Linked DNA regions of Alligator mississippiensis. The protein of the gene in region 2 interacts with the protein of the main gene of each other region in a pairwise test. Links are inferred from orthologs where the notes say so. Each region holds a gene or a part of one and is shown on either strand. Other genes may lie near its edges.

Region 1 (3,031 bases), on a different chromosome or scaffold from region 2:
AGACACTCAGGGTGTGTGGACGCAGACACATGTTGGGGGTGCAGCGGTGCATGTGTGATGCCCACGTGCATACACGTGCAACGTGTGCTCACAGGGCAGCGGTGAGGACCTGGGGGCTGGGCCACCGGAGGGTGCCAGGCGCTCTGAGGGGGTGAATGCCACTACCCCTGGGGCAAGGGGCCAGCCGGCAGAGGGTGAGACTGCAGAGGGCCTGGGCCAGGCCGCATCCCAGGCCCTCCCCGGCGGGGTGTGATGGGGCGGCCTGACCCCGCCGTGCGCCGTTGTGTAACGGCTCCCGTTAGTGGGTCAGGAGAGCCGGCTCTGGGGACCGGGACGGGCGTTTCTAGGGCACCGCCGGGCTCCAGCAGGCACAGGCGTTCCTGATGCAGCGTGTGGCACGCGTGTGCAAAGGGACATGGGCGTGCAAGGCGTGGGGGCGCAGGGTAGGGCAGGCGGGAGGGGGCTGGGGGGCAGGCTGCAGATGGGGGGCAATTGAGAGGCGGGGACACTGGGAGTCCGGACGCCTGGGTCCCCACCCGGCTCTGGGAGAGGAGTGGGGGTTGGGCAGGGGAAGGGCGACTGGGAGCCAGACCTAGGGCCTGGAGCAGGGCAAGCCCCGGGGCCCCGGACGCCGGACCGGGGACCAGAGCCGGGCGGCACTAGGTGGAGGGCGGTGCGATGCGGTGCGGCGAAGGGGGGCGGGACCTGCCGGGTGACGTGGCGGGCGGGTGGGCGGGCCCGGGCGGCCACGTGGAGGCGCTGGGGTCATATGCGGGGGGAGGGGGCGGGGCCGAGCCAGACCGCGCTGGAGCCGCGAGCGGGTAGGAGCGGTGCGGGGCCGGGCGGGGTTCAGCCCCAGCCCCCGGGCCGGCAGAGGGCGCTGTCCCCCGCGGGCGGAGCTGGGGCGCGCTGGGCTGGGGCTGGGGCTGGCGCAGGGCGCGCTGCACCGTCCCCTCCAGGCAGCCCCGGGGGCAGTGCAGGGGCACGGCCGCAGCCGTCTGACCAGGCTCTGCCCCGCTGCCCCGCAGGGCAGGGCCTGGTGCCCCCGGATGCTTCCGGAGGGGACGGCGCCCCCCCGCTCCGGCGCCCCGCCATGAAGGCAGCGTGCTGCGTGAGTACTGCCCCAGCGGCGCTGGCGTGGGGGCCGCCTGCCGGGGGGCAGCGCTGCTACCAGCCCCCCCTGCCCGGGGGCTAGCCGGCGGTGCGGGGCCCGTGCCTGGGGGCGCGGGACCAGCCCTGACCTCCGCCCCGCCCCGCCCCGTCTGGCCGGCAGGTGCTGGTGGTGTCCCTGCTGATGGTGCCGCTGCTCCGGACGGTGTCTCAGCGTCTCTTCTCCATGGCCGCAGAGTCCTACGCCCCCGGCAGCCTCTCGGCTGCTTTCATCACCTGCCCCAACGAGACCGTGGCCAAGGAGATCGCCAGGTGCCCCCTCGGTCTGGGCTGGGGGGCAGCCAGGAGCCGGGACACCTGGGTTGTGCCCAGCTCTGGGGAGAGTATGTGGGGTCGGGTGGGCAAGAGCCCGGGGTCTGGGCCTGTTTCTGAACAGCTCTGGCGGTTGGGGGGAGCTGGGGTTGTTGGGGGGGAGCCTGGGCACCTGGGTTCTGCCCATCCCTTGCAACAGCAGCAGGGTCGTGGGCTTGATTGGTGTCCATGTGGAGCAGGGCGGTGGTGGAGAAGCACCTGGCAGCCTGCGTGAACATCATGCCGCAGATCACATCCATGTGAGTGTGAAGCATGGGAGTTGGGAGTGGGGGATGACTTGTTCAGCCCCATGCTGAGTGAGGGCCAGGGGGTGCTGGGGTATTTCGGAGGCTGATGCTCACTGGCTTCTGCTGCTCCTGGTCTTCCAGATACGAGTGGAAGGGGAAGATAGAGGAGGACAGCGAAGTGCTGCTGGTGAGTGCCTTGTGAGTGCAGAGCCCAGACTAGGACTGGGACCGGGGCCCAGAGGTGCCCTCTCACCCTCTTCTGTCTCCCCAGATGATTAAAACCCGGAGCTCCCGAATCCCAGCACTGGCTGAATATGTCCGGTAAGTGCTTTTGCTGATCTGGCAAAAGCCTGAAGGAGGAGGGAGGGAGGGAGGATGCAGCTGCCCCTAGTGGTGGAGCAGTTGAGCACCTGTTTGGGGGGCAGGGGGGTCCGAGCACCCTGCCCCAGGGCAAGCTGGGGCTCTAGGTAAGGTCGGGTGCTCAGCCCTGACCCTACTCTGACCTCCCATCCCCCTGCAGGTCCGTGCACCCATATGAGGTGGCCGAAGTGATCGCCCTTCCCATCCAGCAAGGGAATGCCCCCTACCTGCAGTGGGTACAGGAGACCGTGCCCTCTGAGTAAGACCTGCCAGTGGTCCAGCCAGAGCTGTGTGTTGGGGGCAACAACAGGCAATAAACCACATGCAGACACTTGTATTGGCCAAGTCAGCCCCTCTTTCACATGTAGCCTTAGTGGGGTCCATGCCAAGGCACCTGGGGTCTGCTGGCCTAGGGGTAGGGTAAGAACAAGGAAGGAAGGGACAGTGAGCCCGGATGCCTGGGTTCTCATGCAGGAGCCCCCAGTGACCAGTGAGAGTCTGGCTGCAGCAAGCTCTTTATTCTAGGTGTCTGTTTGTACAGTCAGACGGCGGCGGCAGTGGTGGCACACGGGTGGGGTGGGAGGGGAGGTCCGGGTGGCGTCTCTACAGCATGGGGGTGCAGGCGGGGGCATAGCTGTGCTGAGGGGACCCTTCCTCCTACCCTCTTTGCCAGACCCCAGCCAGGCCCAGTGGGGTCCCCCCTGCCCCCCAGCTCTGCTCCACTGAACCCTCTGCTGTGCCCCCCACCCCCAGCATGCCTCCTTTTAAATAGAATCTTTACAAAATAATAATAATAAAAAAGCAACAAGAAAATAAACCCTTTAAGTACCAGAAAGCCTCTGGCTGGTGGAGGTAGGGCCCCCAGCCCCCACTCTAGGTCCACACCAAAAGAGGTAGGACCCTCCCCTCCTACCTCCCTGGAACACTGCCCCTGCCCCCAGCCCCAGGACAGGCAGGGTCAG
Region 2 (3,743 bases):
TCTGGGTACTGGAGAGCAGGACGGGGGGAGGTAGGGGAGGCATGGGAAACCATTTCCACATGTGCTGCTGCGGGAGCTCTCGCAGGATCCTGGGCTAGATCAGCCTAGAGCCTGACTGGTTTTCATTCACCGTTTTTAGGTCCTTTAACCACACTTAGGCCCACGCCACCCTTTAACCTCAGGAACAATGGCCAGGCCCATGCCACCCTCCACCTGGCTGCTGGGGTCCAGCCACTGCCGACCGTGCGCCAGACGTGGCTGCTCACAAAGCGTGACTAATGCCTCCTCCGAGACACAGGCTTTCCTCTGCACTTCCCGGCAAGGTCAGACACGATATAGCTCCGAATCATCAGGATGACGAAGTCCACCTGGTGAGCAAGCCTGGCTGCTTAACCCTTGCTGATCCAGGACCCATCCTTGAGAGGGGCAGAGCTTCTTGGGCACAGAGCTTGCTGGAATGGCAGACCTGGGGATTTCTGAGCAAGGGACTCGGCTGCTGCTGGTCCTTTCTCCAGTGCCCAGGGAAACGGGACTTTGCAGGCCTGCCAGACGGTCTGGATATGCTCGGTCCTGCCTCAGCGCAGGGGGCTGGACTAGATCAGGGCTGTCCAACTGGATGCCACTGCCTGTGACGGGAGCGCCAGGCTTGCACTGGATGCGTGCGCCACATCAAACTGGTGACCACAACTGGTGGCCACATGCAGCCTGTGCAGGGTTAACTCGCCTCTGGGTTTGCTGCTCCCTGCACTGCCCTCCTGGTGCTGCTGCCAGGGTCTCCGGGCCCCCCTTCCACCCCGCTCACGGGCAGGATAGCAGGACGCTGTGCATGGGGCTAAGGGAGTGGTCTCATGATCTGGGCCACACAAAATCTAAAGGTCCTTTCCAGCCCGTCTTTTCCACGACCCTAAGAGACACAAACCATCCTCCCGCTGGGACAAAACCCTGCATGGATTCAAGCCCCAGGCAAGCCTGGTGCTCCCGTCACGGGCAGTGGCACCTTTCTCCTAGCACAACGCTGTTCTGCACCCGGTCGTTTCCGGCACCCGGGCCTTTCCCCAGGCTTTTCTGCCTTGATTTGCAAGGATAAAAACTTTGCCCGAACATGCTCAGCCACTTTGGCAATGCTGGGATAGTTACGTGCCGCTCTAGCGAGATGGGTGTCCTAATCCCCACAGGCATCTCCACAAAATACCTGTGCAATGAATGGCTCTGCCTCCCAGGGCAGGAGATGCAGCGTGGCCCACTGCGGGGCATAGGCGGGGGCTGCTGTCTGCTCCCGATCCTGAATGCTCAGACCAGCTATGGAGCTACACCAAGTCTGACTAGCCAGCATCGGGTCCTGGCAGTCCCCCCAGGAGCTGGAGACTGCCTGCTGGGACCCCGATTCCTCCCCACCTCCAAGAGTCCTACCTCCCCTACGACCCCCATACAACACCCTCCCTTGATGACAGCCATGCCACACACCCAGGGGAGCAGCTGGCCAGGCCCACGGGCACTGCAGAGACCTGGGGTCAGTTCCCTGCTCTGCCACGGATGTCCCGCGGCCCCTGGGGCATGTCACTTAGTCTCTCCAGGCCTCAGCTGGTGCAATGGAAATGAGAGCAGCACCCCATCTTGCAGAGGATGTTAAAGACAATGGAAATCCTCCAGTGCTGTGGCCACAGGGGCCAGCTAACCTCTATCTCGGATAAGGTTTAGTGGCCCGGCAGCCACACCCCGCCAGTCCTGCTCCAGTTGCAGCGCTGCCAGAAGACGCACGGGTTTGGGGGAGGCTATCAGCTGCCCTCAGAGCCCAGCCAGTGACTGGCCCGTCACCCCCAAGCGCTTTACAGAGCCTGCTAGCTTGCCCGGGGGTGGGGCAGGGAGGCATTAGCCCCATTTTACAGACAGGGGAGTCATTTCAAGCTCCCAATGAAATGAAATTAGGTGCAGGGGGAGGAATCGGGGCTTCTCCCCCATGGCAAATGCACTGAAAACAACCGATATCCCAGGGACCAAGCGGCCAGGCTGGCTGGGCCCAGGAGCACGGTGCGGGGGCTAATGCAAACCATGTGCTGGCTGCGCTCCTCTTTGTGCCTGGCCGCAGAGCTCGCACCGTCACCCCCTCCTTGCCTGCCCGGGGCACCCCAGCCCAGCCCGGCCGGCGGGGTGAAGGCTGGTGGACCCCGGGGGAGAACGGGAGGTGCCAGGGCACCCTGTCCTGGTGGCGACGGTTGCAGGGGGACGGGGTCTCAGCCCTGCAGCGGGCGGAGGGAGGGGGTCCAGCTGAGGAAGGAGGCAGCGTGTCTTTCATTAGGAAGGAAGCTGGGCTTGCATCACCCCGCGCGGGGAGGGGGCGCTTCTGGCCCTCCCCAGGCCAGCACGCCTAGTGGTGGGAGCCCCCCGCCCCGGAGACGCAGGGCTGGAGGGGAGCTCCCCCCCCCCCACCCCGCCCCGGTGGGAAGGGAGCCGGGACGCACTTTCCCGTCTGTGAAATGGGGCGAAGAGCTCCCCGGGGCCGACCCGCGCCGCTTACCTGGGCCGGGGCCGCCGCGGGGAAGGCAGAGCCGGCAGCAGCATCCGCCCCTTCCTCCTCCTCCGCTCCCGGCCAGGCGCCGCCTTCCCGGCCCCGGCCCCGGCCCCGGCCCCGGCCGGCCGCGCAGCGCCTCCGCACCGGCTCCTGCCCCGTGCACCGCTCAGGAGGACGCCCTCCCGGCCGAGGCTTGGGTCTTCACAGCCTCCCAGGATGGGGATCCCACCTCCTGCCCGCCTAGGGAGGCCAGCCTTCCCAATGCTGCCCCTGCTGCTGCTGCTCCTTCTGCCGCCTGCCCGCGCCCGGAGCAGCCCCCTGCTATGCGAGCCCCCTCCGCCCTCTCTTTTCCAGCCCAGGTCCCGCAGCCTCTCCTCATAAGCCCCCCAACGCTTTTCATTGCCCTCCACTGGACTGTCTCCAGTGTGTCCCCATTTACAGCTGGGGAAACTGAGGCAGGAGTGCCCCCCATCTCTGCCATCCACCCCAGGTGGTGCCTAGCCTCTGCTGCCAGGCGGTGCTTTGAAGCCTCCTCCTTATTGACCCTCCCCATGTCTCATCCCTCTGCTCCAGGGCGCGGGGAAGGCAGGCACCTGGGAGTTGTTGGCCGTCGTCAGACCCCGATGATGCCGCAACCTCCACCAACTGCGGTCCGGTCCGCTTGGAGGGGAAGCGCCCTGCCCTGGAAGAGGAGAGAGCGGAGGGAGCCCAGCCTGCCACCCTCTCCCCTGCGGAGGGACCCACAATGGGGCCGTGGCCCTGCGGTCACCTCCAGCCCCATCTGGGAGCTGTGGTAGACATCAGCTACCATCGACTGGGAGCATCTCCATCCATCAACCGCCGACAAGGAGCATCTCTGCTCGTGCCCCCAAAATGTTGACCCCGTGGCTAAACCCACAGGAGCTAGGAGGCCCCGGTCCTGACCCTGGCTCGGATGTTGCCTCGCTCGCTGCATGACCTTGGGCTCGGTTTGGGGTCTGCCCCCAGCTGTGTCAGAGCAGATGCGGACCACAGCTGTCCTCTCCCCTGGCTGTAGAGAGACACAGGGAGAGATGTCTGGTCAGCCTCTGCCTAACAGGATTAATTAAATCATCTAATTAAACAAAGTGTTCAGCCACTTTTGTAAGGCTGGGTCTAAATCCACAATCAGCCACCCTTGGAAAGGCACCAGGGAGGAGGTGTCTGCCTTGGGCTAATTTTGAGAAGACAAAGACTATGGGGGCCCTGGCTTCTC

The links. The genes of interacting proteins can lie anywhere in the genome.
Region 1: the proteins of FBLIM1 (region 2) and CUTA interact in binary tests that used the Homo sapiens proteins (3 or more experiments, as listed by UniProt). The two-hybrid records come from large-scale screens. The link is inferred for Alligator mississippiensis from reciprocal best matches to the Homo sapiens genes FBLIM1 and CUTA.

Annotation. Positions count from the first base shown.
Region 1 is NC_081834.1:64,880,688-64,883,718, reverse strand, and holds CUTA (protein CutA), read left to right. Parts: upstream 1-778; 5' UTR 779-821; intron 822-1,028; 5' UTR 1,029-1,093; coding exon 1,094-1,111; intron 1,112-1,273; coding exon 1,274-1,422; intron 1,423-1,661; coding exon 1,662-1,721; intron 1,722-1,850; coding exon 1,851-1,896; intron 1,897-1,980; coding exon 1,981-2,030; intron 2,031-2,229; coding exon 2,230-2,332; 3' UTR 2,333-2,406; downstream 2,407-3,031. UniProt on the Homo sapiens protein: May form part of a complex of membrane proteins attached to acetylcholinesterase (AChE).
Region 2 is NC_081836.1:2,953,600-2,957,342, reverse strand, and holds the start of FBLIM1 (filamin-binding LIM protein 1), read right to left. Parts: upstream 2,835-3,743; 5' UTR 2,516-2,834; intron 372-2,515; exon of another isoform or gene 140-371; intron 1-139. UniProt on the Homo sapiens protein: Serves as an anchoring site for cell-ECM adhesion proteins and filamin-containing actin filaments. Is implicated in cell shape modulation (spreading) and motility.